Rattus norvegicus: one gene and its partner. The protein of the gene in region 1 purifies or fractionates together with the protein of each later gene. This does not show direct contact. Links are inferred from orthologs where the notes say so. Each region holds a gene or a part of one and is shown in the gene's direction. Other genes may lie near its edges.

Evidence for each region. The genes of interacting proteins can lie anywhere in the genome.
Region 2: the proteins of Traf7 (region 1) and Map3k3 purify together in Homo sapiens (affinity purification with mass spectrometry; 5 studies listed by BioGRID and IntAct, with this or other methods). This does not show direct contact. The link is inferred for Rattus norvegicus from reciprocal best matches to the Homo sapiens genes TRAF7 and MAP3K3.

The regions. Positions count from the first base shown.
Region 1 is NC_086028.1:14,042,916-14,047,465, reverse strand, and holds part of Traf7 (E3 ubiquitin-protein ligase TRAF7), read left to right. Parts: intron 1-1,576; coding exon 1,577-1,671; intron 1,672-3,438; coding exon of another isoform or gene 3,439-3,475; coding exon 3,476-3,592; intron 3,593-4,048; coding exon 4,049-4,141; intron 4,142-4,305; coding exon 4,306-4,339; intron 4,340-4,550. UniProt on the Homo sapiens protein: E3 ubiquitin and SUMO-protein ligase that plays a role in different biological processes such as innate immunity, inflammation or apoptosis. Potentiates MAP3K3-mediated activation of JUN/AP1 and DDIT3 transcriptional regulators.
Region 2 is NC_086028.1:91,517,804-91,523,026, forward strand, and holds the start of Map3k3 (mitogen-activated protein kinase kinase kinase 3), read left to right. Parts: upstream 1-2,172; 5' UTR 2,173-2,461; coding exon 2,462-2,465; intron 2,466-2,530; exon of another isoform or gene 2,531-3,840; intron 3,841-4,383; exon of another isoform or gene 4,384-4,438; intron 4,439-5,223. UniProt on the Homo sapiens protein: Component of a protein kinase signal transduction cascade. Mediates activation of the NF-kappa-B, AP1 and DDIT3 transcriptional regulators.

The DNA.
Region 1 (4,550 bases):
CCCGTACTTACTCCACTGCAGGAGTGCACCAGCTACTAATTGGTTTTTTAATTGCCTTCCCATGGCTGAAGGCACAGGGCTACCAGGTGCACACCAGTGCCTTTTATTTCTGGATGACCTGAGAATTCTCAAGAGAGGGCCTCTTCTCCCACACCCCTACCAGGAGGCCATTACTTAACAGTTTGTACATCTTTAGAGACTGCACAGTGCTTATCAGCACTGTTGAGGGTTCCAGAGCCAAATAGCATATCAGCTAGTCAACAGTGAACCAGTACTCGCCTCATCCGGCCCAGTCACAGGATAGGCAGTTCCTAATCTTGAATGGAAGCCTTAAGAGTCTGATTGCTATGACATCTGGCTCAGTTTTAACCTGTGCTGGTTGTAGCCTATCCTTGGCGCTGCAAGCCTTATAGGGCCTATGAGATGGTTCTCTGGTTCCCACATGGAGCCTTGACCTTTCATTCTTGGGGAACCTCAGCTTTCAGGACCAGGCTGGACAAGGTATTCTATAGGCAAGAGGGAGGGAGACCAAAAGTCTAGCTCCAATTCCTGATTTTGGTTGGGTTAGGGAGGAATAGGGAGGACATAGACTAGACGTGTATTTGCTGAGGTCCTTCAGTTGCTCTGTTTCCTCTTTGTCAACCTGGCAGTTACTTTAAAGATCGAAGGGAAGCCCCCAAGTGACCCACCCTAGAAAGATGCCAGGCTACTCATATACTATTTGGGGTTGATTCTGTGCCCAGCAAGGCATGGGGGCCCCTTGTTGGGCTGAAGAATGGAACCTTGTCGGGGGTATGAGAGAAAGATCTTAGTTGGGCTTGGTGGTGCTTGCCTGTAATCCTAGCGGTTGGGAGGTAAAGGCAGGAAAGTAATGCTTCTGAGGTAACCCTGAGCAGTCTAAGGAGACCCTGTCTTCCTGCATTAATCTCAGCTCTTGGGAGGCAGCAACAGGTCTATCTCTATGAGTCCCAGGTCTCAAAAAGCCAGATTCAACAAAAACTGAATCTGGAGAGATATCTCAGTGGTTAAAAGCACTGGCTTTTCTTCCAGAGGACCCAGATTCAATTCTCAACACCCTCATGGTGTTTCAGAGCAATCTTTAACTCCAATTCTAGGAGATCCGATGTTGTTTGCTGGCTTCCATGGGTACCAGTCACATAAGTGGTGCATAGACATACATGTAGGCAGAACACTCATCCATGTACAATTTAAAAAGAAAGAAAGAAGGAAAGGGCAGCAAAGGTTGGGGATCTAGTGCTGGTGTGAGCATGAGCCAAGTCCCAGGTTCTCTACACTAGAGGCAGGAAATGCATTTACGTCTCCTGTTGGTAAGTAGGGCAGGCAGGGCAGCTAGCAGTCCATTCTCAGTTGTCTGCAGTCTGATGAGCCAGGGCCACACTGCTGGTACTGGTTTACCTTGGAAGACTATCCTGGATAACCATGTCCCAGTCTAGGACAGGGAGGCTGAGAGCTAGAGACAATCCGAAGGGTTCCGTAGCCCTGCCAGATGTCTCCATCCCTTCAGCCCCTTCCTCCACTGACAGCTGTGTCACTCAGCCCTTCCCCTCTCTTTCAGCAGCTGATGGGACCAGCACATACAAACAGCATCGCAGGACGCCTTCCTCCTCTAGCACCCTTGCCTATTCGCCACGGGATGAGGAGGACGGCATGGTAGGTCTCCACGATGCAGGAGCCCAGTGTGATCCCCAACCCTCCTGTCAGGCCCTCCTCACTGAGGCCCAGGTCCTAAGAGGAGCTGGCAGGAGAGCAGAGTCAGGATGGTGAGGCACCTTGAGGTCTGAGCACTTGTTGCATTCCTGAAACTAAGAGGAGGCTCCTGTAGCCGGATGGTGGCAGGAAGCAGCCAGTTTGTGGAACTGTGCTTTAGGGCATGTCCCCTGAAGGCCAATTTCAGGCAGTTTGGGCTCCATCTTAAGGGAGGTGGGAGCCATAAAAGGTATAGTTAGGTGAATCTGCCCATGGGACAGAGGATGACTGCCAGGACCGAAGTCTTTGTTGGACGGCAGAGGAACCAAACTTCTTTTCCCTTTTCTTTTTGCTTTTATATTTGGTGGGGTTCATTGTCATTGTTTTGTTTTGTTTGAGACAGGGTCTCTATGTGCTCCTCATTATCCTGGAGCTCACTATATGGACCAGGCTGTCCTTGAGCTCACAGAGATCTGTCTGTCTCTGACTCTGGAGTGTTGGGATTAAAGGAATGTGCCACCATGCCCAACCCCTTTTTTCCCTTTTCATTAGGAAGATAAACATCCAGTAGGCATATTACGGGGCAGGCACTGCCCTTAGCCCCAGGATGGGTTAGATACCTGGTACCCATACCCCACAGCTTCACCTCTCTCAGTCTCCACCCAACTCCTGACTGCAGCCTGGGCCTTGGAAGTGGATTCATTGTGCTTCTGGTTTTGGATAACTCTGGGGCATCTGACAGGTTATAGTAACTTTAGTGTGATGTCCTAGAATCTTGTGTTTGCTGTAGGACATTGAGCAGCCATGCCCACCCCACCGCATTGACTGGCCTTAGTTGCTGTGCTTGGCACGGGGAGTGGGAGTGGGGGAGCCTAAGAGTTGCACTAGCCAGTAGGCAGAGGGGAGACTACAGCTCTGTACTAGCTCCTGCCTAGGAGCTGTGTCCTCTGCCTGCCATTGCTGTCTGTGGGGGTATGACCCACTTCCTTTAACTTTAGCCTCTGGGTCTCACAGGGCACTCCCATGCACGATGTAACTTGGGACATCGGAGTAAGGAGAGATGGGAACTGCCCTGGTGGGTGAATATGTGCCCAGCCTCTGCCTCTGTTTAGGGACGCCCAGAACTGGGATGGGCTGCATCCCTATCTCATGGCCCCCTTCCCTATTCTGGACATAGGCTCGGGAGAGGTAGGTGAGCCTAGGCATTGGGTCCTGCATGGAGGAGCTATGGCAGCAGTAGCTCTTGGATACCATGCCTCTCTTCCCCTACGACCTCATCAAAGGTTGCTCCTTCCCTTCAGGTCTGAGGAGGCGAGGTCAGCCTCTGGTGAAATGTCCCAGTGAGCCTTCCCGGCTGGGTCTAGTGTCTCCTGGACAAGGCAGCTCAGCCCATGGGCTCCTCTCCTTGACCAGACTTCTACTCTTTTCTGTTGGGTAATCTGGTGTCTTAGCTGCCCCAGGATTGGCTGGTAGATGCAGCCTCTCTGCGGCCCACATTCCCTCACGGGAAGCAGGAAGAAGCCTGAGCATGTCCTGTAAAATTGAATAGCAGGAAATCTCTCCATTTACACAAAGAAAGTTGGCAGGCAAGAACGGGCAGCCCAGCACCAAAGGCCAGGGCTGGCCGCCACAGGCCACGGGATTGAGGCCATCCCAGCCTCCCACACACAATCCACAGCCTTGTGGGTTTGCTGGAAGTGGGGTGGCTTAGGGGCGCCCCTGCCTCCACAGGGCTCAACCCCCTGACAGGCTGCCTCCATCTGTGCAGCCCCCCATCAACACTCCTCGCCGCTCTGACTCAGCCATCTCTGTCCGCTCCCTGCACTCCGAGTCCAGCATGTCCCTGCGCTCCACGTTCTCGCTGCCTGAGGAGGAAGAGGAGCCGGTAGGTGTGGTGGGCTTGGCAGGAATCATCTTCCAGGGTTGTCAGTGCTGCAGTGGCACAGGGCACTGTCCCTCAGACCGCACCAACATAGCTCATGCTGTGGGTAGGTCAGACCCGATTAGGGCCTCTAGTCTATGTAAAGGCTGCCTGGGGATGAGTTGTGGGAAGGTGGGGCTCAGACGGGGTCCTTTGCTAGTCTGTAAGGCAGGAAGAGAGGCCAGTAAGGCTGAGACCATGTGTGCAGATGCTGTGTGTCAGTTTCTCACTGCTCACAGCCTGCCTCTGAACCACACCCCTTGCTTTAGCTCCTTGGTCCTCTCATGGGTCTCAGTGCCAGTGAACAGCCCTGGACGGGTGAACGTGCAGGCGGCTTGGGTAATTAATGTCACTGAGGGTCTATGCCTGAAGCCCCCACTTGTGGCCCACGTGCTGACCATTTTGCTCCGCTCTGTCTAGGAGCCATTGGTGTTTGCGGAGCAGCCCTCGGTGAAGCTGTGCTGCCAGCTCTGCTGCAGTGTGTTCAAGGACCCTGTGATCACTACGTGTGGGGTAAGCACACACACCTCTCCCACCCGACTCTGCCTGCTGACCCTGACCGAGGACCTTAGCCCTGTTCATCCTAAGCTGGCTGTCCAGCCGGAGCTCTCTGCAGTGGTGTGGGATGATGTGAGACTCTGACTGGAGTCCCCCAAGTCCACTTTTTGTCCCCACAGCACACCTTCTGCAGACGATGCGCCTTGAAGTCAGGTAGGTCTGTGCCTCCCATTCAGACTGGTGAAGTTGGTAGGTAATTCCCACCCTGCCCTTTCCCAGGCTGCCAGCAGAGGCCACTGGTTTCCTATCTAGGCATGTGTGGCCTCTCCCAGGGCTTGCATAGTGTTGCCAGGGTTCGGGCCTGGCGAAGGACCTCGATAGTAAAGCAGACCCCAATTCCTGGTGTCTCCAGACTCAGCCTTGG
Region 2 (5,223 bases), about 77 Mb from region 1:
GCTAGGGTGAAAGAGAGGCGGAAGGATTGGGTAAGATTGGTGGTTAGAGGTGAACAGAGAGGAAGAGTTCACCGATAGCTTGGTGTCTTCCTCGGGGAACTGACGACAATGAACAGAGGAAACGTGAACAGTGGAGGGAGGTGATGGGTTCAGGTTGGACCCGTAGAATTTGAGGTGCCCCGTGGAGTGCTCAGGAGTGGTGCCTCTGAAGCTTAGAACAAAGATCTGCCTGAGCTGGGATCCTCAGCACACAGGGCAACGGCAGCATGGAAATGCTTGACTAGTGGCGGAGGGACAATCAGTGGAAATGGAATTCACAAAGAAGGCATCTGAAGGAAAGGTAGAAGGAAGCAGCTTGCTTAGCCATTCACTGGAGAGGTTAAGTGAGATTACATGCCTGGCATCTAGTAAATGGCTGGTGTTCTTCTCCATTTTCCCTCACCAGACAAAAGGATTATTCTATTTCAGTAAATTAGGGATGCAATCAAGTGAGAATGTGAGACTTGAGAATTTGAAGAAAAAGGAGTTTGGTACAGTGACACAGGTCTTTTATTCCCAGCACTCAGGGGGCAGAGGCAGACAGATCTGTGAATTTCAGACCAGCCAGATTACAAAGAAGTTCCAGGACAGCCTAGGTTAGAGACTCTGTCTCAAACAACAAAAAAACAACTCCATAAACACCACCACCACCACCACACCACCACCCGCCCCCCCCCCACACACAAATAAAAGAAAAAAATACAGGACAAGAGAGAGATAATTAAATAGTATGGGGTTGAGAGAGAGGATGAAGAAAATGGATTGTGTAAGATACTCTTTAAGAGATCTGACACCCCAAAGTCACCCCCTAAGGTGTTTCTAAATGACAACTGAAAATGGCATCCGAAGATTTTTCTGGAATCTGAAATATGTCACTGGAACAGTTCCAGAGAAAGAGAACCCACACTAATTCTGGTAGAGTTGGAATCTAAAGACTGGGTGTATAAATTGTTGAAACAATGGAGGTTGAAGAAGTTAATCACAATGCCCTTTTGAAAGATCGCACAGCCAGTACAATTGTTTTGAGACAATATTTCGTGGCACAGGAAACACAAATGTGTAAGCACACTACAAAACAATACGAAGTGGTTTTTTTTGTTTTTTTTTTTTTGTTTTTTTGTCAAACGTTGCATATCTAGGTAAGAAATAGATAAAACTATCTCTAGGGTTGGGATTTTCCTGCACTTTTAACTTTTCTTTTAAAAACGTGTCTCGATTTTATAACTCTGAGCAAAATTTGTCCAAGAACAACTTTAGCAGAACCCCGAATGTGGGGACCCACATTCCAGCACTACCCTAGCCTTTGGAGACGGAGGAATTAGATGTGCCCTCGGAGGTCTGAGACCCAGGGGAATGAGAAGTAACGAGATCGAGACCGTCCTCCTTCTAGTAAAATCCGCACGTAGAGCCGTGGGCTGCTTAGGGGATCGCGCGGCACAAGTGGCCTGGAAGCTCCGAGCCAAATCTTCTCCGCCCATTCCAGGCCAGACACTTCGCACCAGCAGGGGCCGAACACCTCAGCACCTCGAGGTCGCCGACAACCATAGGGCCGAAGGTTGTCGTATTCTGAGGGCCTCTACGCTTTTTCAAGGAGCCAGCCAGTGTAGCCGCTGAGGGGAACAGCGCCAGCCCGCGCGCCAGCCGAGGGTTCCGCAACTGAGTAGAGGGTTGTGGGCGGGGCTTCAAGCCGGAGCTGTGATTGGAGCAGATTGGCCAGAGAAGCCGAGAGCGCCAGCTAGTGATGCTCCGCGGCGGGTGCTCAGCGCTCTCTCTGTGATTGGCTAGGCGCGAGAGGACGGGCGCTGTCTGGGTGATTGGCAGGCTCTAGACAGCCCTCGGAAATCGCCTTGACTTCGCCCATTGGCATCCTGTAAGAGTAGGCGGGATTGGTCCGTCGTGATTAGCTGGCGGATGAGAGTGAGGGCGTTGGGAGAGAACGGGAGGAGGGGCGGGAGTATCTGACTTCCTCCTGGTTATTGGCTGGCAATGGGCATGGGGGTAGCGCCAAGGCCCAGCGGCTGTCTGCGATTGGCAGATGCTGGCATGAGTGACAGATTGCAAGGCTTGCTGCGCGCCCAGCGGTTTGTTTTTCGGAGCGTTCCTGAGGTGGAGAACAGTGGCCGGTCGGAGCTACTTCTGGACTTCAAGACTGGCAGGCGGGCCAGCCGAGTGGCGCCGCCGAGGCCGGGTTGGGCCGAGCCTGGGAGCGCCGGGGATGTAGCGGGCCACCCTGCTCATGCCACAGCGCCCGGCCCGGGCCGGAGCCGGAGCCTGGGGAGGCGGCGGGGGCCCCGAGCGCAGCCCACGGCCCCCGCGCGGAGCCAGGCCTGCCGCCGTCCCCGCCGCCTGCTCCCCCGGCATGCAGCCCCGGCTGCGGAGGTGACACTTCTGGGCTGATACCGCTGCCGCCGCCATCGCCACCATGGGTGAGTACCGCCACCGCCCCGGCCTGTGCCCGCGCTGCTTCGCGACGCTCCGCCCTGGGCTGAGGGGAGGAGGACCCTGGGCCGCTGCCTGACAGGCATGGACAGTTCGCCGGGCCCGGGACTGAGGACCGCGAACCGCTCGCCTCTTCGCGGCGCCGCGACCAGGGCTGTGATTCTGGCTACCAGGACCTTCCGGGGGTGCCCTACCGGCCAAACCCACTCGGCAGCTCTCTTTTCGGGCATGCGGCGGGCGCATCCCGGGGAGGGGTCTGCGGGACGGAGGCCCGTGCTCGGTCGGGCCGCCCACTCCGGTCCCCAGCGAGCTGGCGCGCGAGCTTGAGGGTGGGGGAGCCGGAGCTCAGTGTGGGGCCGGGGCTGGAGCCTGGTGCAGGCCCAGCTGCTGTTGTGTCTTTTCCTTGATTTGCTTTTTTTTTTTTTTTTTTTTTTTCCTGCCTGTGTCATTTCCTTCCCTTTGCTCACACTGTGAGTTCCCGGGGCTTTGCTCTGGAGCTCGGTGCGCTCCCCTGCGCAGGGGGGAGGGTATGCGGGGGATCCACTGCGACGCTATTCGACGCGGATCCCTGTTAGCAATAGCAGGCTTGAGAAATGCGAGCTGCGCTCCTCACAGATTACTGAAGTTAAGAATCGTTAAACGCTGTGGGTTATAACTCAGACCCTACTTTTGGAAAAAAATCCGGCTCTTATCCAGTGCTATCCCTGAAACTATGTAACTTTTGAAGGAGGCATTCGCTACATAAAAGAATCACTATGAAATCATTTCCTTTTTGTCAGTATTTGTAATTCTGCTGTGAAGATATAATCTAAGAAAAGTTTTTTAATGTCTTCTACACAGTATTTGAGCTGAATAAAATATATATTTCGCATAATTTTGGTATTTTACCAAAAGACTTGGACTTAGCTAAGGAATGTGTGACACTTTAAATATATTTTGCTTCTCCACTTGGGGAAGGTATTGTGATGCTCTTGTTCCTGGTCTCAATCAAGTTTTGCAAAAATATTTAGTATTATCTTAAATCAGAAAGGGATAAAATTCTCCTTCGCAGAAGCACTCATTGCTTGTTTGAGTGCGCCATATGAAGATGGAATGTTAATGCTTGTTTTGCCCTATAGTAAGCTCAAGTCATTTTTATAAGGGTTTAGTGGATGCAGTCGCACATTAGCCAGATACTCGATTGGAGCTCCTTACTCTGGCTTTAAATTAATTGCTTTATTCTTGCTTTGTTCTTTTTCACTCTGCCCCTCATACAGTATGGAGAGAATTTGTTCATTTGGTGGGTTTTCTGTTCCCTTTCCATGCTGTATTTCAGAGTTTTTTTCTACAGAGCTCTCATCTGAGACACACAAACGGAACCTAGTAAGGACTCACATTTCAATATTTATTTATTTATATTTATAATACAATAAATGTTTATGGAATGCTTATTATATGGGGCACATATTTCTTTATATATTAATGGGGAACAGAATTCTTTTTATCCTCCCCCAGTTTTCCCACATTTATCTACTGCTACAGAATTTAAGTTAAATCTTTGAATTATGGACCTATGTTATAAAAGTTTAGTAAGCTTTCCTTCTTCCCCGGTGTGTGAGCCTTAAGTTCCAAAGGGGAGTATGAGATCCTTCAGAATGTACAGAATTCACATGTAACACTTTGATTGTAAAACCAGTGTGTGAGTATCCAGTGATGAAGGCAACATCTCATTATCTAATATGAAAAGAGATGAGAGCCTGTTTTCAAATTTGAAGAGGTTTTCAGCCAATGTATGAATATGTGGAAAGGCCATGTTGGGAGGAAAGAAACTATGTTGGTAAAGTTCCAAAGTGGGAGGAAAAACAGGGAACATGGTATCTTCTTATTTGACCCCATGTCACTTTTTAAATGTATTTTTGTTTCCAGTGCTGGACATCAAACCTAAGCCTTATGAATGCTAGGCAAGCACTTTGCCATTGAGGTACATCCCTGGCATTCTCTTGAATACCTTTTCTTTTCTCTCTCTGTCTTTCTTTTTGGTTCTTTTTTTTTTTTTTTTTTTTTATTTTTTCGGAGCTGGGGACCGAACCCAGGGCCTTGCGCTTTCTAGGCAGGCACTTTACCACTGAGCTAAATCCCCAACTCCCTCTGTCTTTCATATTTAAAGGTGTTTTTCCTGCATGTATGTCTGTGTGAGGATGTGAACTACAGACAGTTTTGAGCTGCCATGTATGTGCTGGGAATTGAACCCAGGTCTTCTGGAAGAGCACCCTGTATGTACTCTTAACTGCTGAGCCATCTCTCTAGCTCTTTCTTTCCTTTTGTTATTGTTGTTATTATTGTTCTGAGATAGAGTCTCCCTGTGTAGTCCTAGCTACCCTGGAACTTGCTATGTAGACCAGGCAGTCCTTAAATTTATAGTAATTTCTGCTTCCCCAGAACCTAATAAACAAACATTTAGTAAAAAAGAATCTGATTTTTTATATTTTCATTGCATTTAAACTCCAGCTCAGTGACTAAAGGACTAAAACTAATTTGTATCTCTGCTCTGCAGGTTCTTTGGTTCATAGTCATATTTTTCTGAGCAGTTCTATGCTCTAGACTCAAGCCTGTTTGACAACTTGACTTGTTAGTAAAAACAGGTCAGATTTTATATTGTCTGTTAGCCTCAGCAAAAGTCTAGTGGAAACTGTAACTTACCCTTGTAAAGAGTGGGAAATCTTTGTTTAGTTTTTTGGCTTCCAAACTGTGTGACTATTGAAATTT